Drosophila melanogaster: one gene and its partners. The gene in region 2 interacts genetically with the main gene of each other region. Each region holds a gene or a part of one and is shown on either strand. Other genes may lie near its edges.

Evidence for each region.
Region 1: of wrd (region 2) and mts, changing one enhances a phenotype caused by changing the other (phenotypic enhancement), as found in Drosophila melanogaster (one study listed by BioGRID).
Region 3: of wrd (region 2) and Liprin-alpha, changing one suppresses a phenotype caused by changing the other (phenotypic suppression), as found in Drosophila melanogaster (one study listed by BioGRID).

The regions. Positions count from the first base shown.
Region 1 is NT_033779.5:7,824,798-7,834,151, reverse strand, and holds mts (microtubule star), read right to left. Parts: upstream 6,503-9,354; 5' UTR 6,101-6,502; coding exon 5,999-6,100; intron 3,691-5,998; coding exon 3,127-3,690; intron 2,684-3,126; coding exon 2,493-2,683; intron 2,419-2,492; coding exon 2,346-2,418; 3' UTR 576-2,345; downstream 1-575. Other genes in the region: Rack1 (receptor of activated protein kinase C 1), read left to right, coding at 6,983-7,091, 7,171-7,382, 7,816-8,451; CG7115 (uncharacterized protein), read right to left, coding at 9,269-9,354.
Region 2 is NT_033777.3:18,170,155-18,179,616, reverse strand, and holds wrd (well-rounded), read right to left. Parts: upstream 6,774-9,462; 5' UTR 6,668-6,773; intron 6,492-6,667; 5' UTR 6,333-6,491; coding exon 5,427-6,332; intron 5,078-5,426; coding exon 4,573-5,077; intron 4,285-4,572; coding exon 4,088-4,284; intron 4,015-4,087; coding exon 3,680-4,014; intron 3,614-3,679; coding exon 3,383-3,613; intron 3,311-3,382; coding exon 2,918-3,310; intron 2,813-2,917; coding exon 2,569-2,812; coding exon of another isoform or gene 2,524-2,568; exon of another isoform or gene 2,376-2,523; intron 1,715-2,375; coding exon 1,571-1,714; 3' UTR 1,242-1,570; downstream 1-1,241.
Region 3 is NT_033779.5:6,721,283-6,727,568, reverse strand, and holds the start of Liprin-alpha (Liprin-alpha), read right to left. Parts: upstream 3,667-6,286; 5' UTR 3,485-3,666; exon of another isoform or gene 3,392-3,484; 5' UTR 3,176-3,391; intron 2,743-3,175; 5' UTR 2,722-2,742; coding exon 2,473-2,721; intron 2,412-2,472; coding exon 2,310-2,411; intron 1,794-2,309; coding exon 1,440-1,793; intron 1,368-1,439; coding exon 1,266-1,367; intron 1,197-1,265; coding exon 1,029-1,196; intron 971-1,028; coding exon 851-970; intron 376-850; coding exon 235-375; intron 1-234. Other genes in the region: homer, read left to right, coding at 4,759-4,772, 5,139-5,427, 5,483-5,919, 5,973-6,051, 6,115-6,286.

The DNA of each region.
Region 1 (9,354 bases), on a different chromosome or scaffold from region 2:
GCTGGGCAACTTTTCTGTGGCATTCCTTTACTTAATAACAGGCCATCAAATAGAGTTGTATTTCTGTGGGTTATATTCATGCCGAGCATCCTCACCCGCCACGCCCCCTTGCGCCTCCTTGAACACGCACTCAGGATTTATTTCCACATTTATATGAGACTGCGGGGGGTGCGGTGCGGTGCGTTGGGTTACTGGAGAGGGTATGTAAATTTTTCAGTAAAAATTCACTTCGTGATAATGGATTTTCCATGTCGCATACGCCGCAGTCGTCGTCGACGTCGCTGCCTGCACGACAAATACAATCTGCTCCAGGGCCTCCAACTGAACCCCCCCCCCTCCACGCTCCCCTCTTTTACAACTGAAAATCCAGCCCCAACTCCATGGCCTCTCCACAGCAGCCAGGGCGACAATTACCTCCCCCCAGCATCCTGTGGAGCTCCTGTTCTGGTTTCGGGTTTGTTGGGGCATGATAGATGACAAGTCTCGGTAGGTGTACGTATGGGTATGGTTGTTTGCTCGCCAAGTTCTTGGGCACTTGAGAGTCCCCATCCTCGATCCAGCATGTTCTCAAATTTAGATTTTCATCCAGACCAAAACTCATGTGGATACAGTGCCAACTGGCGGTGCACGAACTGCTTATCTCAGAATAATCCATATATTCTAGGGTTTCTACTATTGCCAAATGTTTATTATTTATATATCGTTTACTTTCTTGCTCTTAATATACTTTTCATTCGTATGCTAAAGTTAAATAACCAACTAAATTATCAGGAACATCAAATCCAATCGAAATAGTTTCCAAAATACTTTGTAAACAGAAACAATAGAGAGCGACCACTGTACATGACTTTTGACAGTTCGTGTGGGCGGCTGCTAAAATATGCAAAAATTTATACAAAGTTGGCAAGATTTTTGCTTTCGCTTTCGCTGGGAATCAAAGGCAGCCCGGCTCTGATTTAGATTTTGACTTGGGCATCATTGGTTGGCTGGCACCACGACCTCCGTCCCTTCTATCTGCCCTCTGCCATCCATCCATATATCACCTCCCCCACACCCATATCGCCTCCTTTGTGGTCTCAATTAGGTGGCCCGTTTGAGGCTCGACTTCCGCTCGTCGTGGTGGCCTCGTGTTAACTTGGCCATGTTCGCATACACACTACCAAAGGAGCCCGCAGGCCAAAAGGGAGCGTCATTGCCAGAACGAAAAACCAAAATCGTTCGCATGGGTCTCTCTTAAAGGACTTTCTCCCTTGAACGCGCGCTCTTCGATGGCTCTCTTCGTCGGCAGGTGGGAATTGTTTGTTTGTTTTTTTTTTCTTTCTTTTATTATTATTAAAGTTACATATGAACTTAATTGATAATGAATTTTTTTTAATCATTTTTCTTTGCTTTTTTGTTTGTTTTTTAATAGTTTTATTCGCTTTTTTTTATTTAATTTTAATCAGTAATATTAAATTTGTTGTATTTCCTTATTTTCTTTTTTATAATTTTTGTTTTTATATAAATCGCTGGCCCGCCCCGCGCTTCCCCCATCGCAATGGCGTTCGCTGCTGCTCCTGCCACATACTGCTCCTACTTTTTTGCTGCTGCTTCATCGTTATCTTCCTGCTTTGTCGGTCGTGGGTCGTCTGCTTCTGCTTCTGCTGCTGCTACCGCTGCTGCTTGCTTATGCTGCTACGTCCTGGCGTTCGTCCTTTCGTCCCGTTTAGTCCTTTGTCAGCCCCTTCCGCCCACACACACATCACGTCATAATCCATGAGTCCATCCATCCATCACTCCTGCTCCCTGGCTTTCTGCTGCGACGCTTAGTTCGTTATTTTTATAAATTAACAAATTTAGCTAAGTAGTTGTAGTTCTTCTTGTTGCTTGCGGTTTTGTTGCTTGGTTTCTGGGTTGGTTGGTAGGTTCGATTGGATTGTATCATTTCTGTATACTGCTTCTCCTTCTGCTCCTCCCCTTTATCTTTGATATAAATTTTCTGCCTGCCGCCCCCGCTGGCGACATTTCCGGTTTTTTCCTTTTCTTTTAAACTGTGGCCAACAACAATAACTGTTCAATGCATTTTTGTGTTCTCGACTGTTATGGTTACTTTTTTTTTCTTTGTTTATACAATATCTCTTCCACTGCTCTCTGTTTAAAACGACCTCCACAAAACAAATGCATCGAGGTTTTTAGTTTTGGGTTGTTTTTTATGGTAGTTTTTTTTTCGACAGCACTTGCCATTTTGTTTATTTTGTTGCTGCTGGTTGGATTTGTATATATTATATATTGTTTCGGTTCTTCTTGTTGTTATAATGCGATGTAATATGTGTAAATGTAAGCTGCGTAGGTGCGAGCAATCCAGCTTAAAGGAAATAATCGGGTGTTCTTCGCGTAACATGAGGCTCCCCGCGCCTGGGTGCTGGATCAAATTGTAGGCTAAAATAAATGCAAACGATTAGATTAGTCAGACATGCCGCATTTAAAGGCAGCTCAAGCGAATTGCCACTCACAATGAAAATTTAAGTGAATCATCCAGTTCCATAAGAGCCGCTTGGTTGCCACAGCGGTAGCAATAGTTTGGCGCTGAGAATATTGTGACCACATTGCGATCGTGACACCAGTTGTAGCCCTCCATCACCAGCTGATGGGCGCGCGACACCAGTGTCAGGCCGTTTGTGTTGTTAAAGGTTTCCGAAATATCCTTCAAATAAAATGGAAATATTAGTAAAAATGCTTATAGAAGTAATTGGCTCTTTCTCAATGAAATTCGATTTGGATAGTTAAAATTTGTTTTGTAGTTGACGGTTTGAAATGTCAAAACAATTTATAACGAAAGCTCTTTCCATTGATTGCGTTATCAGTTGGGCCTATATCAGCAGTAGACTTCGATTACTGATTATTGATTTTCATCAAGTGCATGCCCCGATAAAATTTCCTATTAAGATCAATAAAAAATTTATCTAGAATATATTTGCATGCTTTTGAGCAGACAATTTTTGTTCAGCTTAGTTTTAATCGGGTCTTCAGATGTATTTCACTTAACAATTTTACAATGTGATTAAAGAATAAATTTCCAAGTATCCAAGCTAGGCAAATCAGCTCCGAATTTTATTGAGAAATAGCCAACATGCAGACAACACTCACCTGGCCAAAGGTGTAACCGGCGCCACGAGGCGAGATTCCCCAGCCACCCCTGTCATCGGGATCGGACCAGAGCAGATCGCACATGGGACCCTCGTGCGGAACCTCCTGCAAGCGATCGAGGGCCCGAATGTGATCCAGACTGTCGATCGAGGGACTGAGGCCTCCGTGCAGGCAGAAGATCTGCCCGTCGACGAGTGCCGTCAGTGGCAAGTAGTCGAACAGATCCGTGAAGTACTTCCAAACGTTGGCATTGCCATACTTGCGCAGGCACTCGTCGTAGAAGCCGTACACCTGTGTGATCTGGCGCGACTCGTGGTTACCGCGCAGGATGGTGATGCGCTCGCGATAGCGAACCTTCAGGGCCACCAGAAGGGTCACGGTCTCCACGGAGTAGTATCCACGGTCCACGTAGTCGCCCATGAACAGGTAGTTGGTGTCCGGAGACTTGCCGCCTATCCGGAAGAGCTCCATGAGGTCGTGAAACTGACCGTGGACATCTCCGCACACTGTCACCGGGCATTTTACCTCCTGCACATTGGACTCCTTGGAGAGAATCTCCTTGGCCTGTAAAGAAATGGAAACAGTAGACCAATCAGCAATTTATTTATGGATATTTTTAGGGAGATACGTTTTAATGTTACCTCCCTATTCGAATAACCGAATAAACAACTTTGAATACCAATATTAAAATACTGATTAACATAATCTAGCCCAAATCGTTTCCAGGGTCAGAAAAGATAAATAAAACGATTAGTACTTTGTACATTATTCACTATACTTAATGACTCAACGCCAACACTCAAAGTGTACTCTAAAAATAGCTTGTAACTAGAAGAGAAATTAAAACAAATATATTGGATAAGTGCATGCGTTTTTTTACAGAGAATCGAGGGAAATAAATATCACTTGTTCTCTTTAAACATCCCACAAGAAATTTTAATGGCATCAAAACTCAATCTCTTGGGTAATTCTGAAAATAGCTTCCCGCAAAACCCTATAAAACTGTGTACCTAAACATTGCTACTTCCTATAAGAAAAACATAAACATGTAGCAAAATTTCCGGAAATTACAAAACATTTTTGTTACGTTTGTGTGTAAATAGTTAACCAAATGAAAGTAATATGGAAACTTTGATGTTCTATTTTTTCACCTGCCATAATTCGGTGAATGGTGAATGACATGACAGAATATCTGCGAAACAGAAAGTACTGAGAAAACCGAAAGTGATCCGCATGTGCGGATGATAAAACCTTGTCAAAGGCCAAGGTTATCCGTCAAGATTTGGTCAACAAGCGAAGAACCTCAACTATTTTCTCATCGAATTTTGCGTCAGTTGCAAACAAGTTTAAGTTGCTAATATAAGCTGTATGAAAATCAAAACAAAGGAAGCAAAGCTTTTTAATAAGTTGAGATAAGATGAACGTACGATAAAAAGTTGTCCGTATAAACATAACAAATTCACGATTCTGGAAAGTATTCTATCGTCTTTAGTAAAATAAAATATGAAGGTCGATTCAAAAATTCCCGATGGGCGTCAATATACAGCATCAAAAAAACCGGTTTTTACAAACATAAATGTGCCAAAATGAGCAAACAAAAATTGCACATTTATTTTGACCATTCCGCCGTGTTCTTTGCGAATTCTTATATTTATCAGCTGACGAAATGGGACATGACAACAAGTTCCGGGGGTAGAATCCGGCGGCGCAAATGAGCGATTTGTGCGTGAGCCAATTAGATTTTTTGCCATATGCACAGCATTACCTTGGAGGCTGTTGCTTCCGCTTGGCCAGAAATCGAAAAAAAAAAAAAAAGAAAAATAATTTTTGAACTCATGACGAGGCCAGCGCACCCATACAGATGCATGCACAAACACTGATGCAGCTTGTGCTCTCTCCGCGTACTCTCCGCTTTTCTTTTCGTAGCAACGGGAAGGATGGAGAGAGGCCGCAGAAGACGCACCCGAGAAGAGCGAAGAACGTTCTTCTCGGAGGGAGAACGGAGATTCAAGATTCTAATGGGAACACTGACAAATATTTGGGTGACGCAAACATAACCCCACTTACTCCTAAATCAATGAATCGTTATCTGTTCACCCTCTCTTTTTCTCTCCCTCTCTTGCACTCTTTTTGCTTGTCTGTTTGTTTGTGTGCGCGACGCGCCTGATGAACGGTAAAATCGGCAAATTAAAAACAATTGATATCAAAAGTGTTTAATTGAACATGGTTGGTCATAAAAAAAGGAACACAAACACCAATGCAAGTGCATTATTCTAGAATTGAGATACGACGGTACATAGATACATATTCTAGGGGCGCGCACACACCGACGCACAAAAACATTAAGTAATATTTACTCAGCAACGACAAAACGCGCATGAGGTTGCACGGAGCGGGGGTGCTCAGTTTCCGGTGGACACAATAACAACAACATTAAACACGCACAATGCACTTTAGTTAAACAATCAAATTGTACAATAATACAAAAAGAAATATCTCTTTTTGCCCAGGTTTAGCCCATTAGACCAAAGCGCTGTTCTAGCTGTCGCATTCACGCACGCACTTGCCCGTCCCGTTGTCCCGCTCGCACTTGTGCGCGGCAATGCGGCGCTTGGCTGTTGGAATTTACCAATATTCCAATATGGCGACGCAAGCCGCCGCTACTGTGCGAGCAAGAGGGCACGACATGAATCATGCTCTCGCGCTCTCCGCTCAGCGCCTCTCCCCATTGGAAAGAGCGAGAGGGCCAGAGACACGCAGCGTTGGAGCACCATTTGCAAAAAAAAATCGCTCGCTCGCATGCAATGACGAAAATTATTTTTATAACATCTCCTAATTCGCATGGGGAAAATGGGCAAGGACCGGGCCTTACCTTGTCGCAGAGGGTGCGAACTTGTGTCTCTGTCAACTGATTGCATTCGTTCAACTGCTCAATCCATTGATCAAGATCTTTTGTTGTTGCTTTATCCTCCATCGCAGTTGTGGTGGAAGAAAAAGTCTCGTCAATCTTTGTCGATTCAATTTTGACGGCTTTTATTATAACTCAGGGGTGCAGGAAAATTAGCAACTACTGTTGCGTTCGATTGCCAACCGCGTATTCACTCGTTTATCTCCACACAATTGCCAATCGAATCAACTCGATTTGGGCGATTTTCTTCGTATTTTTTGTTCACAAAAGAGACGACGACACGATATACGAAGGGAAAGACTGCCCTCGGTGTGACCGATTGCCGCGAAACGCTTAAGAACGCGCTGTGTGTGTGTGTATCGATTAGCGATGCATGCTTGACATTTCTACAAAAATACCGACTAAAACTTGTGGATGGTATCCTTACTATTTGGCCAACAGTTACCAAGTAAAACTAGAAAATAAAGTGGGATCAACGCTCACCGTTTTTTTTACATTATTACGTGATAGTGACAAAATAAAAGTATGTACATAGGCATTTGGGCAACAAGATATTGGGATTGTTTTAAAATCCTTTAGTAGTCTTTTCATAGATGTGCATTAGCGTCGATTATTTCTTAAATAATAGCACAATTTGTTTTAAAACTAAACTTCAATATTTCTGGGGTTCTTTAGATATAATAATATTAATACTTGGTGTAAAAGTATTTATTTTTTTTATATATATTTTAAAGTTTTTGATATTATTATTTGACGTTACATTTTACACGTATTATTTGTAACAGAAAATTCAAACTATCGATAGTTTTGTCCTGTCCAACACTGAACGCTCGCTGACAGTTGGCATCTTAGCGAGCACTGGAACCGGAACTGCCTCTTTTTCTGCCAGCTTGCAGCGCCTTTGGACGTGTTTCCTTCGCGCTCCGTAGCAAATAATATAAACTCAAGATGTCCGAGACCCTGCAATTGCGCGGTACCCTCATTGGCCACAATGGATGGGTCACCCAGATCGCCACCAACCCCAAGGATCCCGACACCATAATTTCGGCCTCCCGTGGTAAGTAATCGCCATTGAAATTCTTCGGATTTATCTGGTAGCACGTGCGTATATTAATGGCCACCATCTCGATTCGCAGACAAGACCCTGATCGTGTGGAAGCTGACCCGCGACGAGGACACCAACTACGGCTACCCCCAGAAGCGTCTCTACGGACACTCGCACTTCATCAGCGACGTGGTGCTCTCCTCCGATGGCAACTACGCCCTGTCCGGATCCTGGGATCAGACCCTTCGCCTGTGGGATTTGGCCGCCGGCAAGACCACCCGTCGCTTCGAGGGACACACTAAGGTGGGATAAGATTCCAATTGCATTTAGTTCGTTTAGGGAACTGAGATTTTGAACCGATCTGTACCGGCAAAAGGCTAAATGTAAGGTTAGGAGTGAGGTTAGGCCCGCCTTTGCCGCGTACAAATCGAAAAAATATATATTGCGCCTATGCGAGGCAGAATTACTGGTTGACATCTGTACGACGTACGCTTCACCCTTCGCTCGAGTCTCGGCTATAAATTGCTTGAAGCTCCATCGTAAGTAGGCAAACAATCTCTGATACCCATTGATTCCTAATTAGTTGCAAGAAACCCATCTGGATTCCGTTCACTGACTAATTGAGTTGGGACTATGCCCATTCAGTTGGTCAGTGAAATATCCAGTAAATATATTATTTTTATGAAAACCATACCAATACCATTAGCTAATCGTCAAATGCTTGTTCGCTTTCTAGGACGTTTTGTCGGTTGCCTTCTCGGCCGATAACCGTCAGATCGTGTCCGGCTCTCGGGACAAGACCATCAAGCTGTGGAACACCCTGGCTGAGTGCAAGTTCACCATCCAGGAGGATGGCCACACCGACTGGGTGTCGTGCGTGCGCTTCTCGCCCAACCACTCCAACCCGATCATCGTGTCCTGCGGCTGGGATCGCACCGTCAAGGTCTGGAACTTGGCTAACTGCAAGTTGAAGAACAACCACCACGGCCACAACGGCTACCTGAACACGGTGACCGTCTCGCCCGATGGCTCCCTGTGCACCTCAGGTGGCAAGGACTCCAAGGCCCTGCTGTGGGACCTCAATGACGGCAAGAACCTGTACACTCTGGAGCACAACGACATCATCAACGCCCTGTGCTTCTCGCCCAACCGCTACTGGCTGTGCGTGGCCTACGGACCCTCGATCAAGATCTGGGATCTGGCATGCAAGAAGACCGTTGAGGAGCTGCGCCCCGAGGTCGTTTCGCCCACGTCGAAGGCCGATCAGCCCCAGTGCCTGTCCCTGGCCTGGTCCACCGACGGCCAGACTCTGTTCGCCGGCTACTCCGACAACACCATCCGCGTCTGGCAGGTGTCTGTTTCGGCTCACTAAGCTACTGACCTTTGTAACGGGCGTCAAATTTGTTTAGCTAAAACAAAAATAAAATTTAAGCGTCCTTAACTGAAATTTGTGTATCTTGTAGCGGCTGAATTAGTTTTAACTTTAGGCTTTGGGCTATAGAGTTTTCTCCGGATAGATGGGAATAGTATAAACAGTGGGACAATTTAGTTTAGGCAGAAGATAAGTAAATGTTAATAAAGAAAACATTTTATATAAACTTTAATCGAAAGTGGATGTTTTTAATCCCTAAACTACAAACCAGATCATTTCATTGAAATCCAAAACGAATAATGTTGAGAAAAACAATTAGAAATTGAATTTAAGTAGCAAAACGAAATGTTCTCGTTTCGTATGCATTGTTTTATTCGTAAAAACATTTCGACATTTAGAAAATGTTTTCTTTTACACGTATAACAAATAAATTAAATAAATAGTTACGTGATGATGTTACCCTGACTGAGTCAGTGACTGTGATGATTTTCGTGTGCGAATTGGAAAAACGGAGTGCACGGCAATGTGGCGGCGGATGCAAACATATTTTGTTTAAACAAAACAACATTGACTAACAAACAACCTTAATATTAAGACAAATGATGAACGCATTTTCGAGTGATGAATGTGTATGCATGTCTGTAATGGGATGAATGAACGCTGCCTTTGGACAAGTAACAAAAAGGTCAAAAGGTATTTAGCAAAATGCCTAACTAGAAAAATTCGGGCACTTTCGTTTGTTTTTCTTGGGGAGAAGGAAATTTTTAGGAGAAAAGCTGAAGAGCATTTCTTAGCAGGCACTCTTATCTATCGTTTTTCATTTGGTTTTGATTGAATTCGAGCGTTGCACAACTGCAGGCGCAACTGGTTGAGATTTGGCTGGGACTTTTAGGGATTCTTCTC
Region 2 (9,462 bases):
TATATGTTTAATTCTTATGTTGAAAAGTTTGATTTTCACCGTTTCCTGTATGAAAAAATCTGCCTTTCTAAGAATTACTTTCCCTTTACCTCTCCACCCATATTATTGTTTTGCAATTTTCCACATTGTGTATGTATCTATAATGCCAAAAATATGTAAATACATCTCTTTATATAATATATATATATATATATATATTTGTGTCTATAGCTAAACTGAAGCCTTTCGTTTTTGGCGTGTACAGCACTTGGTAGTGGTAGCAAAACTCTTTTGATCTGCTTCGTCGCCTTTGTCTAGATTCTAGATTAGTTGAGAGTATCTGCATAAATCCTTGTCTAACGGACCCGGTAATGACTTGACTATGGAACTAAACGACTGGTTGACACGGATCCAAAATTACAGTTTAACATATAGATATAGATTAACGTATAGAAGTAGACGCTACGACCAGCAATTTGTCCCAGTCTGTTGTGGTGACGTTGTAAGGATGCTTATAGGTTATCAACTGTGCTTGGTGGACCAGAAATTGGCACATCTCTATTCCTTGGCGGTCCGCAGGATCATCCACGGCCAGTCCAGGACAAACAAAAATGCCTAATTCCTTTTGATCGGTGTTCAGGAACACGGTTCTCCGCACATATATATATATATATATTTCTATATTTAATAGGTAGTACATACAAAAATACACTCACGCACATACATACCACAATTTATGTGTCCTGCTGGGCGATTTGTTTCATATAAATATATTATGGGTATGCTGCTCTAACTGCTAGGCTAAATAGCGTACAATATTTGCAAATTTGAGTCGTGGAGTAGTAAACATGTTTTATATAGTATGTGTGTATAATAGTGGCATGTGGCATGAATGTCTGGATGTCATATAGCTATCTATGTATGCATGTGGCAGAAATCGGGGGATATATATGTACTCAATCAAGGTGGTAAACGCCTACGCCTTAAGTTAGACAATTCAAATTCAACTGTACAATTATATTCACGCGTTTACTGAAATGGTAAGAGCATAGTTGTGATACCAGATTATTGCACAATTAGATCTAATTGATAGGGCTATAGCTAAAGCAACGCTAGCAGCAACATGCATTGGGTAAAAGATATAAGAAATAAGAATATATATAAGAAGGTCATTCAGGGCTAAGCTTCACTGTGGCATGCGTTGGAGCAAAAGGGTAATCTTGAAATGCATATGCAAACGAAATTGGAGCTAGACAATCGATCTCGTTGGGGATTCTTGATCTTTATTGGTACTATGCATGATCACTAAAGATAGGTATTTTGTATGTGTATATATATATAGCAATTGGCTTGCATCCGTTGCCACGCCCCCACTCTAAGCCCCCAAATGCAAATGCATCGTTCAAAATTGTTTGTTCTCTAGTTGTGCGGATTCTATCCTTCATCTCTGGACTTGGACTTGTGCTTCTATATATGTATGCTTTCTGGCCTTAGTCTGGAGTGTGTAGGTCTATTTGGGTAAGTTCTGTGGTTTGACTATCCTCCTCATTGGAGCTACGAATATTGGTGGCGTCGGCTGGCCAGCTCTCTCCTAGTAGTTTCCATCCGGCGGCGGCGTTGTGAGGTACTCATCCGTCCGCTTGTGCTCGTTTAGCGCCTTCACGGTTCCACTGTCCGATGGCAGGTCCGATTTCCGGCGCAGCAGCGGCTTGTCCTTGTTCCGTTCGCCACGAATCTGTGTGGAACGGGAAGGGGGGTTTGGCAATAGAAAATGGACCCGCTTCTGACACTAAGGCATCGCAGCACACACACACACACACACTGGGCGGGTGAAGTTACACGGTGGTGCGGGATGATTGCGTTACGATATCGAGTGCTGTGGTGCTGGATGGAAACTCGATGACCACCAGTTGGACAACACACGACTACGATATATATATACATCTACACCCGAATGTCGAATTGTGTTACAAAGGTCTGAGATCGAGGAGTGTTGTATGGTTTCTGGTTCTGAGTTGTTAACAACATGATACATTTGACACTAGTTTTTAATAGTTATGTGCACAGATTTTACTCTAACTGGGATTCATGCTTAAAAATGGTGATTCACTTGAGGAAAATTATGTTAAGTGTTCAAATTAATAAATGAGAATCATATTGATGTTACAAAAGGAACGCGTTCTCTCATTAAAATGACCACAAATGAGTTAAAAGATGGACCAAAGTGTAATTAACATCTAAGTAAGATAAACTACATATTAATTCCGCCCAATTCGTATGCGGTTAACCAAAAGTGCAGGAGAAAAGTTGTTGTGTCGTGGATGAATTTGCATGGATGCGTTTGGTTTGGCAGACAGTGAGGTTACCAAATAATTAATAAATAAATAGACAAAGTTAAAGATATACAAATATGTATTTTTTTTTTTTTAAATGACATGAGTGTGATTATTTTAACAGACATTCGTTCGATTAGAATTAGAGTTGAAACAGAGTGGGCCTTAGCTGGGCACAGCTCACAGCGACGCCAGGATCACACGTGGCGGATTAGTAGTTGTTTAGTGTTGTTAATGTGGCAAGTGCCTGTCTCACCTCTCGGGGCTCCTGGTGCGCCTGTTTCTGTGGCGGCAGCGGAGGCGGCGGCTGGCGCGCCCTCTGCTCGCTCTGATCATACGCTGAATCGCTGTTCTCACTATATTGATCGCACAGGGCCCGGCTGTCGCTGACCGGCAGGCAGTCGTTAAACCGGCGCGCCTTTGTCCACTCCGGGTTGGTCTTGGCCAAGCTCTCCACCTGTTGCCAGAGCTCCTCCCTTTGCGACAGCTTCTCACGCTCCCTGCAATGCAAAAAAAAAAAAAAAACGCCAATGTTTAGTACAAAGTAATAAAACGTGAGTGCATCGTCCCATGGAAGTTAATTATCAACTAAAGTTAACACATACATCTGCTTCTCTTGCTTGTAGTTCTTGCTGCACTCGTCAAAAAGCCGCTGATCTATCTCCATGAACAGCTTGAGTGCATTGTAGATCAGACCATGGATGGTCTTGTTCCAGTGCGTCTTTGAGTTGCGATTGAGCGCTGGGAACATAATGGGTAATATCACCGCCGAGTTATCCGTTATCAGCGACATAATGTACTCGTTGTTCCAATAGTACAACGCACGTTCGGCCACCTGGAAATGAGGCGAAGAGACGCACTTGGCTATTTGGCGGAACAGCGGCACCATCACCTTCTGGAACTCGGCCGGCTCAATTACGTCCAACAGCTCCTCCAGCTCGTTCAAAAACATAACCTCCTTGGGACTGTGCGTCTTGGGCCAAAATTTAAGTAGGCTTCTGCAAGAATATTGAAATATGGCAGCGATAGGCTAATTAGAAAATGCGCAAAATAAGGAATTCTTTACTCACTTGATGACCGCCTCCGATAAGCTAGGATCCTTCTCCAGGAACTGCACCACACAATAGGTGAGCTGCGGATGGTAGACCGAGAGGCTCTTGGCTTTGTGCAATGGCAGCAATACCTTAAGTAAAAATTGTTTATGCTCCTCCTTAAGCGGCAGAGCAAAGCCATTGATAATGCTACCCAGGATTTCCAACAATTCGGCTATGCCATTATGATGCTCCGTTTCATAAATAAATCTAAATGTGGAATGCGATTAGTAATGTGAGGCATTAACCTTATAGATATTCCAATGACGAGCTCACCTGTAAAAGACATTGTTGATCTGCTTTCTAATAAATGCTCTCAAGCCCAAAAATTTTCCATAGATGCGATGTAAAACAGTCTTCAGGAAATCACGTTCACGTGGATCCTCCGAATCGAATAAATCCAATAGTTGTAATACAAATTGATGGTCGATAAAACGTTTTGCCATGCTTGGTTGAAAATCTGGTGACTCCAAGAAGCGCAAGAACAGCTCGTAAACGAGTTGCAGATGCGGCCACGAGGACTCCAACGTGGGCTCATCCTCCTCCGGATCGAATTCGGCACCATTCGGGTTGGACGATGGCGGCAGAGTTCGGAAAAGGTTGACAGCAAACTGATGAGAACAGATAAGTATGTTGTGGTAAAAGCATGTGATATTATTTTAAATATGTAAATTAGTAGCTTACCATATTGATCGCCTCCGGGTAAATAACTTCGGTTATTACGCCATTTTGGTTGGTGAGGAAATCGACCATTTCGTGCAGAGCCGCCCGCTTCACCTCCTTGAACTTGAGGTCGCTGAGCGGCTCGGAGAAGTCGAACAGTGTGCAGCATTGCTGGATCTTCTGTATGAACAGCTCCTCACGTTCACTGGCGGCGGTCTCTATGGAAATACAAATGAAATCATCATTAATTTTTTTAAATATATAATATAAGTGATAGATATATCAAACAAAATGTAAGCCATATAAAATTGACCTTAATATAAAATTAAAAAAAAAAAACCTACAACTACAAAAACGACCAACCAAAAGCAGGCAAGCGAAACTCAAAACGAACATAATGAAGATCGGAAGAAAGGATCAAGTAGCCGGAGGACCTCAGGCCCAAGGGCAATGGCTGGAATGGCTCCATCCATCGCCATTGGCCCGGATCCATTCGGGATAGCAACCTCGCAGTGCAGGCAGCGCCATGGCAACCGAAGCGGTGGGTGGCGTGTAGAATAGATTCCGGTCGCGAGCCCTTCCCGGACTGCCCGTCAGCTGTTGGAGCGTCTGGGGCGAGGGCTGAAGACCCGCCGGATGACCCGGCAGTATGTCACCGTTCTGCCGGATGCTTAGGCTCGATGTGGTCACCACCATGGTGGCGTTAGGTGTCACCATTACTGCTGATGACGCAGGTGCTGCGCCGCCATTGCGCTGGCCAATTCCCAATGAGATGCTAATGCCGCCCACCAGATTCTGGGCCACCGTCGGACGCATCTCCTCTGCGGGCACATCGCTGGTGGTGGGAACAGCGGCGACGGCGGTGGCGGCGGACGACGGCACAGCCGCCGCAGAGGATGGGGATGATGAGGAGGAGGTGGCCGCCGCTGCTGCCGCCGCCGCAGCACTAGTACCCACACTCTTGGTGGCATTCAGTATGTTCTTTATGGCCGCGGCCGCGCTCACAGGTGACTGGATGATGAGGAAGCGATGAAATGAGAGCAGAGTATGGTTTTGGTTTATCAAATTTCGGTTTGTTCAATTGGGATGGAGTTAGTGTTGGTGGATAGTGTGTGAGATGCTACTAAATGTATTAGCTTCTAGCGTACAATGTAAATAAAACTTTGATTAACAAGGTACTTGAATTGTTATTTTTTTCTTTGAAACTTAGTTATCGTTATCCAAAAAGCTAACACAATTAGTGAAAGTTTGGAAGAAAGTGTAAAATTTGTGGTTTGTACTTGGAGGTGGTGATGTGGTTATGTTTTGGGTTTTCAGATCGCTGGGTGTGTGTGTATGTGGACAAGACCAAGCTGCAAACCTTGCTGGCGGCGATGGAGCTGCTGGCTGCGTTGTTGGTGGCGGTGGATGAGGAGGAAGCTGACGAGGAGGACGCCGCCGAGGCAGAGGATGCCGCAGCGGCTGCCGCCGATGCTGCGGCGGATGTGGCCGCCGAGAAATGTTGTGCCAAAGTGGACACAAGTGAATTGCTGCCGCTAGCAGCGCCCGTTGACGTTGTTCCAGATCCAGATCCAGATCCTGCTCCTGCCGCGTTCTTCGACATGCCGGCATTCGAGGATAGCGAGAGCGAAGAAGTGGAGGACTGCGATCCAAATGGCGAGGAGGCAATCAGTGCAGCTGCAGCCGAATTCGCTCCACCACCGTATGTGGCGGCCGAGGATGAGGCCGAGGAGTTAGCAGCCGCCGAGGCTAGCGAGGATGAGGCCGCCTGTGAAAGCGAGGACAGGGCCGAGGCCGACGAATTGGAGCTGGTGGACGAGGACGATGGTGAGGAGGATGTGGTGGGTGCTCCGGATCCGGCTGCTCCTCCTGCTGCTGCCTCTGGCGGTGAGAGGGGCGTTTTCCGCCCCTCGAACTTGGCCTTTAGCTCCTCCACGCTGCTAAACCTGAATCGGCTGCCGGTCTGTTGCTGCTCCTGCTGCTGATCCTGCACCTGATCGTCCAACTCGTCGTCGGCCAGCTGATCTAGGCCGCTGTGAAACGATGGAGATTTGGGTATGCGTATGCCGAGGGCATAATACCCGGCTGCAATGGGCTGCGTTTCCTGCTCCTTGCTGGAGGATTTAATGGGCGCCGGTTTCTTTTGCTCTTGCTGCTGCTGTTGCGATTGCTGCTGCTGCTGCTGCGGCTCCTGCTGATGTTGCTGTTGCTGCTGTTTGGGACCTTTGAGCCCGTTGCCCGTCAGCAACATAGCACCGAAGACCATCTCATTAGTGCCGGCACTTGGAGCAAATGGCACTCGGTTTTAATCTTGATACGGAACGCTTGTTTTTTTTACCAGCCGCCCCCGCCGACCAACAACAACACATGAGAAAGACTACACTAGAAACTCAATTTGGGCACGCTAAGTATGAAACTATAGAATCTGTAATGGAATTGCAATATAGATAATGGTTTAGATTAACGCCAAATGCGATTATGCGCTGATGGTAACACAAAACGAAATGAAATGCAATTGGAAATGAAAATGGAAATGACAACGCCTCTGCTAAAATTCTTCTTTTGCCTCACAAATGGCCATAATTACGTGGAAAAACTTACGGTTCGAATGGGAACAAATGAGGGAATAGGATAGGAGAGCAATTAACTTGGGAAACGAATATTTTCAACTAATATTAAAGTTTTCGGGGCACACGACGTTCACGGTCTTGAAACGGTTTTTTTTTTGTTGCTTCGACTGCTGCGCCAATCGGAAAAATCGATATCGAGAGAGAATGAAATGGAGAGAAATTTGGTGAGCAGCAGACAGAGAGAAAATAAAGAGAGAGAAAGTGGGCTGGTGGGCGAGCGAGCCACAATAACAATAAAACCTAATAAAATAAAATAGTATTGAACAAGCGAAATTTGTTTATTCGATTTGTGAGTCGAAACCGCCCAAGCAATTAGCAGAAAGGTATGTGAATAACGCAATGCGATGACATTCATGCTGCACAGAAAAAAAAAGTGTAGCAATTTCATAATCATTACGCGCAGATATGTACATATATGATTTTCAAAAATATTGAATTTGCTTTTTTTTAAATTAATTCCCTGCAGGATACAGTTTTTCTAATTATTTGTATACACAAGTTTAAATCAATCGAATACATTTGTGTCATAAAGAAATGCCGGTGTATATATGAAATTTAAGACGGTCTGAGAAATCCTCTAACGATGCTTTCTCCCAGTGTAATGAGAGGCTGCGGAGAGAGCGCATGTGTTGAAATTCCGGTGAGTGAGAGAGGTGGAGAGAGGTGTGAATTGATGCGGCTGCTTGGTTCACATGTGTGAGTGGCCGTGCGTCAGTGTTGCCACCCACCTAATCAGACGACACTCCCTTGACCTTTAACTTTAACAAATAATAAACAAATTACAACAGCTGAGCGAAATTAATCAAGCGCCGGCCAATCAATATTCCCAACAAGCTTGCAGGTCGTAGGTACACTTTACAGAGAATGCCTCTTGTAAGTTAAAGCTGAACTTATAATCATGGAAATTTACCGGAGTTAATTGACATAATATATGTAATTATGCATCGTTAATGGGAATTACTACGATTTATACAATCTGTTTTGAGTGTATAGTTGCATAAAAACTTAATTGACGATGTTGGTAGACAGTAAGAAAGGTAATTTTATATCGCCTAAACGGAACCCTGCCCTAAAATGTATGCTACGACATGGCTACGACCAAGTTCTACCCCATGCAACCGATCTGCAGGCTTAAGAGATATCGATCTGAACAGCTGGCAGTACATGTATTATAAAGTAATATACTAAGTAGTAGGATCTACTCCAAGGCTACTCACTCTCGTTTAGCGGAATGAGGGCCGTCAGTTCGCAGTTCTTGGAGGCATTGTACCGGGCGCTGGTCTGGCGCTTCTCCTTGCGAACGATCGGGGTGCCGGTGATGTTCAGGACCTTGCTGATCGGCGTGGGCGGCGGTGCATCGTACGGTGGTGTGTTGTCCTTGAGTTTGTTAGCCTGCAAAGGGGCATAAATGACACTTATCTGATTATCTTTTCCCATGTCAACGGTTTGGCTTATGCTTAGTAAATGAAAATAATTTTAACAACGAATGCAAAGCAATATGCGGTCAAATAAAAAGCATACTCAAAACGTAGCACTTGCAAAATCAGAGCAAAGCAGTTCAGTTCGGGATGGTCCCTCGCTGCCATTTTGGCCGGCCATCGCTTTTACCTTGGACTGTGCGAATCCTTGACGCCTAAGTTGAGCTGCCTGTGGGTGTGTTTTAGTCTGAGTTTAGTAATGCCGAACATTGAAATGTGCTCTGGGATCAGGAAGCTGGAGTTCCGTAGGCTCTCCATACACGTATAGGATTATATTGCTGGCATCTACCAGGGAATCAGGTGGTGGCATATATGTATATATTTTCCAGGCACTAACATTTATGTATTTTTTAAAGCATTTCATTGGGCAATTTTTTGGCAGTTTCAAAAAGCAAAGTGCTCGCCTTATACTTTATGTTTTATTGCAAATGTTCAATATTTTTGTCGTTGGAGAGACAAAAATGTAAAAAATTTTCATTAAAAGTTCTTCTAGTTAATAACAGGCATGTGAGTATAAAGATTTGTATAATCAACTCCGTCTTTTGTTGACACAAAACTTTCGGGAAATCGTATAAAATCTAGGATTTAGGGCAATCTATTCATTCAATCGCAAAAGTCTTATCAGAAAGTAGAACCCAAGGTAATATAATTGAAACGATAACGATTTGTAAACCAAAATTGAAAAGCAATAAAGATTGCTAGATTACTGTTACCACTTACAAGGTCATTAAATGCTATTTATATCGTTTGTTAAATAAAGAGTATTTCCTCTATTTAAAGAAATAATTAAATGCATCATATTTCGTATAAAAAAACTTATGAAATTAATTAAAAAATCATTTTTTAAAATTAAAAAAATTAAAATCTAATAAGTTTATCTCTCTAAGGACTAACGAATTGGTCAAATTGGAGATGAGGAAAAGGGGGAAAGTGAATATCGGTTTGTCAAGCACTTGCGATACAATTACGATTCGATTTGTTATCCGAACGACATACACTCATTTAACAATTGGCAACATTGTGAATCTAATTGGTGTTGGTCAATCTAACTTGAATCGTGCGGGGTAAGGTGAAGCAGCGATACAATAACACACATCATTAGCACTGATTAGATAAGATAAGGCTTAGGCACACACACAAATGCACAGTGTGCGTGTAAGCATTACGAGTGAGGTTTACGTTACGCCAAAATAACGGTAGGCATGCAAATAGGGCGACAAGTGAAAGACAGGGAGAGATCGTAACAGAAACAGAGAGAGACTGTGGCTTAAAGACAGCAAGAGAAAGA
Region 3 (6,286 bases), on a different chromosome or scaffold from region 2:
TGGTTTCGGGTGCGTTAGAGTAGAAAGTTCTGGTGCAGTACAAAGATAGAAATAGTAGGTATAGTACATAGAAACTGAGTTGTTGTTGAAGTTGTTGGTGGTTTCTTGTGGCAGAAAATACGCAAAAGATAAGAACATTACACAAAACAGAGTAGAAGTTGTAAGGGATAATATTTGTTGTTGATACTTGTCATATGGAACCTGTCCGGCGCGCATATTAGTTCGAGTGCATACCTTGTTTCCTACCTTAGTCAATGCCTCCATGCGTGCCTTTAGCTGCTCTTCCATGTCGGGCTGCAGCTTGGCGTGCTGGGCGAGCTTCTGTTCGGAGAGCTCCAGCTTCTCCTCGATGGCCCCGATCTTCTCCTCGTGCAGCTGATTCGGATTCGGCATTGATCATATGGCATGGATTGGTTGTGGTTCGTATTTGGGGCGGGTGTTTGTTCGATTAGTTGTCGGGGGGAATAGTTGCGTATGTAAATGCAATTGATTAGTCACGCTTAAGGGGAGCTTAATGAAAGAGCAGGCTAGGGCACAATTAGAAACAGAGTGGATCGATTTTTTACAAAATATCACAGATGCTATACGAACTAGATTTCGCTGCTAATTTTATTTCATTACTCTAGCATACTAGCGATAATTGCTTGACTTGTAAGATCATGAAAAATTTATCTGCTATTCAATTGGAAATAACTTTACAGTAAGGTAATGAGTAATCAATGGATTTTTTTGAACAAATGGACTGTGCGCTTATCGAAATATAATAAAAAAAAATCGATCCTCATGAATAAAAGTAAAGATATGTATGCCTGCCTTAACCATAAGCTGTAATTTCCTTGGTTTTACCCACCTTGAGCTGCGCCTCTTTATGCCGTAGTTCCTGCTCGAGTTTCTCGTTGAGATCATGCAACGATGTAGACTCCCTCTGAGCATTCAGGTATCGCTTTTCCAATGTGGTAATGCGCTCCTCCTAAAAATGAACGTATAAGTAAAAAACTGAAACCATGCTGTGAGTATTATTCACTCACCTGATCCTCTTTCTGGGCAACATTCTCGCGCAGATCCCGCTGCAGCTTGGCACACTGGTCTTGGGCCTTGCAGTGTTCCTTTTGCACTCGCGACATGTTCTCCTCAAGCTCACTAATCTTGTTGTTCAAATCAGAAACGCGTCGCTGCCATTGTGAAAGTTCCGAGGTCTGACAAGGAAAGAGCGTTTTAAAAAGTGTTCACCATATGCAGACTGGAAACAGATCCGCAATCTTCACCTGCTTCTCAATAATGGTTTGCAGCTCGTGGGTTTTGGCTGCGTAGTCGTTCAGCTCATTTGCCTCGCCATTAACGCCACCAGATCCGCCCACGCCCGCCATCTAGGGTATTGGAAAATAGAAGAGATATATTAAACCGGACATGCTTGACTGCATTTCGAATGTGGAACGCACCTTCTCTTTGAGCCCGTTCTCGGCGCCCCCACCACCGGCGGTGGTTGCGGCACTCCCTGCTCCGCTGCCACTGCCCACGCCAGCTGGCACCACGCCCGCCTTGTACTGGGCCAGTTCCTCCTTGGCAGAGCTGAGTTCCTCTTCCATCATGTTGTTCTTCTCGATGGAAAGCCGCAACCGCTCGCGCACCTTCTCGTCCAGCGCCTTGTGGTGCTCGAACAGCGACTTTAGCGCCTTGAGCACTTCCACCTCGCTGGAGACGCCGCTCTGGGCGGCAGCCTGTCGCTTCACAACGGTCATACGCAGGGAACGCTCGTGGCGGGACACCAAGCACTCCAGATGTTCGAGGAGAAGCTGAAATAGTCAAGTTAGATCATTAAAAATATATTATTTCACGCAGTAACCGACGTTTAAATTGTCTCTTTAAAAGTAAAATTACCGTAGAAATTTAATTAAAACTGATTTTCTTGATATTCAATGAAGCGGAAAGGACTTATAAATACAGTTTACTTCACTTTTTATGGTTTAAGACGGATGTGAATACAAAGAACTAATTCTTAAAAGGCTGTAACAATGTTTGTATAGTCACTGATAAGTAAACAAATAGACAAGCCATGTTCGAAATAAAAATGAAGACGGACAGAGTAAACTTTTGTATTGTTCCCGGTATATGTGACTAATTCGCAAAAGCAAGTACCTACAACTGTTTCTTGTTTGAATAACAATGGGATATGTAATTTAGCAATGGCTATAATACCTAAATTAATAAATTAGTCTAGCAAATCTTGTCATGATCTACCTGATCTAACCATTACTCAATTGTCTCAGTAATTGAAATACCAAGGATCTAAATTTTCGAAAATCACTTACCCTGGTATTATTCCTCTCCGCCTTGAGCTCCCCAATCTCCTCGTCACGTTCCAAAAGGGTCTCCCGCGCTTGCGTCAGCTCCTTGGTCAGGGTGGCAAACTCCTAGAAAGATCAGGAAAAGATTTTAGGTAAACTGCGGTATCAGCATGCAGAGGCCACTTACTTGCGGCAGATTAGCGTTAATCTGTCGCTGCAGGCTGTCCCGCTCCTTCTCGACGTCACGCAGCTTGTTCTCCGTCTCGTTAAGCCGCTCCTGCGCCTCCCTCAGGCTGTCCATCAGCTTGTCCCGCTCGTCCAGCATGGAGACCATCAGCTGCTCAAAGTTGGCATCCTCCCCGCTAAACTGCGAGGAGCGCTGCGAGATGCTATCCTCGGATATCGTGGGCATTACGTCGCACATCATGTTCCACATTATTTAGTTGGGGCCGCCAGACTGTGCGAGACAGAGAGGGGAATAAAGGTTACAGGATTTTGGCTGTAGGTACATTTTGTGCGGAGATTGTACCACTATCGCTGTTACCGAAGCACAAAAACTAGACGCGTTTTTCTAAAGTTTCTTGAATTTGATCCTTGATCATAAATGAATTGGCGTGATTGAATTTTTGTCTGTGATTCCGCATATGGGAGATACTTAATGCTGTAGCTTCTTCTGCATAAAATCAAATTCTTTATGTTAATTGAATTTATAAAGTAAATTCAATTAATTCATACAAAATGTCCATTCTATGGAGTCCGGATATTTTACTACACACACACACGTTCGCTAGCCATTCCAATTGAAATACCCAGCATAGTGGGAGAAACATGTCTAATGAGACTTATCATAGGCGCCGCATTGATAACAAGTTTTCTACACCAACACATACGCACACTGTCGCAGGCGGGGGCACACGCACGGCATACACACTCACACGCGCACGCACACAGGCACAGTACTTTTTCTCTTTCGCATAACTGGCATATTTTGTGTGCCTAGGTGTGTCGCTGTCGCATTTTGCAATCACATATACCCGAAACAGGGTTAAACGAGCAGCAGGTGCGAGCTTACGCCGCTTTTAAATGCGTTCCAATGAGTTTTTCACCTGAAATTTCGGTTTAGTGGGACGGCGTTCGTGTGAAAAAAAAGAGGCTGCGAGAAAATCGCCTCGTACTCCTCGTTACGCCGGAACACGTACCCCGATCGATCGCACGGCGGCTGGGCAGCAGCAGCAACAACAACTCTGGCCGCTTTTTGCCCTTCGCATAGGTGTCCCGGCTGCTTTTAATTAAATAAACCGAATTCCAAATGGATTTTTTAACGATGAGAAACTGGTCAGTGTTACCAGATGGCAAAACGGCTAAAATCCGTAAACCAACCCTGGTTCTTCACTACAAAATGTACTACATTTCATGAATTTTTTCAGTGGTTCTATTTCGTCCAAAAAATATAGAAGTAAAATGTGTTGTTTTAAAGTTTTTGTGGCAGTCTATTTATGTTCAAAGCTAAATTATATGCAAATATTATTGCCGATCAGGAGTTGCCATTTGACCTATCGTCAAGTATTAGAAAAATGTGTACTAAAACTAATGCTGCCACACCGCACAAAGAAAACCATATCTAACAAATATTCAAACTACATGTAGGCGCACAACTAGACAGTCAAAAAAACTTATCACTTTTATCTGAAATTATTTTGTAACTTCCGTCATTTAAATGCAATGCTTCAACAGCTACACATGTTTTTGAAAAAATTACATTGTTATGGTGCCTTACAGACAAACATATTTAGTATTTATTTATCTTAATTAATTTGCAATTCGCTTTACAGCGATTAAATTATTCGATAAGAATCATTGCTCTTATACGAGCTCATGTGTTATCGATGCTTGGAAGCTAATAAATAAATCATCGATGGTGTTGAGCCAGTAAAAACATCGATAGCACCATACAAACATCGATTTTGGTTCCAGCTCTAGACATTTGTGTTTTATTTTTTTTAACCGTGAAATTCATAAGTAAAACCGACTAGCATTGGTATAAACTGCTGCGGAAGCACTCAGTCAGCGCCAAAGAACGAATACAATGGGGTAAGACCGATGGGCGCGGCCAAACCGGCCTAAACCTGCCGTTTTTACTGTGGGAAAAATCGACGCCGAACTAGCTGACATCTCCCCCCTATGATGTTGTTGTTGTTGCTGCCGTTCTGTGTGTAGCGGGCGGCGTAAATACATACATATATATGTACACAAACATACACCTACACACGCACACGCGTGGGCAGGCCAATTACATGTGTGTGGGTGTGCAGGTGTGTGTGACTGTGCAGGTGTGTGCGTGCGTGTTTTCCGCCCGAGAATCAAAAATCACAAGCAAGGCTGCGGAAAAGGCTTAGCACATAATGCAATTTAGTCGGCGGTCGACAGTCGCCAGCGATAACGGGAAGACACAAGTTATAGAGCTCAGCGAACGATGTCGGCGGATAGGTAATAGATAAGATATATATATGTATATGTGTACAAATAAAGGCACTGGAGGCTACCACGGATACGGAATTGATTTGATGGGGGCCCTGCGCCCCGCAACAAACTGTCATTGCATCAGGCCAGATCGCAAAAAACAAACATATATCGACCTACTTTATCAAATAAGGACCACGAGGATTATCCTGGGACTTAAGGACTACTAATTATAAATGCATTACACAGTGCCTGTTGACTAATAAACCACAGTAAAAGAATGCTTTGCCATAGTTTACTCACACGAGCACAGAAGCACAATTTATTGCCTGCTCTAAATGGAATTTTTAATTAATCACACGCTTGTCGCTTTAATCCCTTTATGACCCTTAGCGAACAACCGATTTTCACCTGCCAGGCGCACGTCTTCCACATCGATCCGAAGACGAAGCGCACCTGGATCACGGCCAGCATGAAGGCGGTCAACGTTAGCTTCTTCTACGACAGCTCGCGAAATCTGTACCGCATCATCAGTGTCGAGGGCACCAAGGCGGTGATAAACTCGACGATCACACCCAACATGACCTTCACCCAGACCTCCCAGAAGTTCGGCCAGTGGAGCGATGTGCGGGCAAACACGGTGTACGGCTTGGGATTTGCCTCAGAGGCGGAATTGACCAAGGTGAGTGGTTAGCATATGTCTCACATATTTATATACTAATCATATCGCTCAACAGTTCGTAGAGAAGTTCCAGGAGGTCAAGGAGGCCACCAAGAATGCCATGAAATCGGCCAACGGATCGAATGCCGTCACGCCCACCACCTCGGCGAACACGTCGCCCATTTCCGGGAGAGCTGTGGGCTCCATGCAGAACGACAACACAGCCATCGATCCGCACACTGTGGAGCCGCCCAACATGAGCAACACGAATACCCAGAACGCCAATCCGGACAGTCCTTCCCACAAGCTTCTAAATACCAGCGATGTCAAGGCGGACATCGGATCGGCCACGCCCTCGCCGCAGCCCACTTCAGGGGTAACTGGTGGCGGTGGAGTGACCATCTCGTCTGGCGGAAGCATTGTGGGCATGCACACGGGTCCTGGAGCCGGCGCCACCGCCGAGCAGCAGCTTAAGTACGAGAACGAGCGTCTGAAAATGGCACTGGCACAAAGGTAAGCAAAGCGTTGACCGTCATTGGCTCAAGGCAATAATGCCTTCTTTTCAGCTGCGCCAATGCCAAGAAATGGGAAATCGAGCTGGCTACCTTGAAGAACAACAATATACGGCTGACTAGTGCTCTTCAGGTAAGCAATAAGATAAGCTCACATTTATTGAAACTGATCGTTTTTGGCCTTTTTCTCCCAAAGGAATCAACTGCCAATGTAGACGAATGGAAGCGCCAGCTGCACACTTACAAGGAGGAGAATATTCGCCTCAAACGAGATATGGAGCAGCTGTGCGTGGGCGGCGGGGTTGTGGCTGCAGCCGGAGGAGGCGCCACAGAGGACGAACTGCGTCGTGAGGTGGCCACGCTCAAGG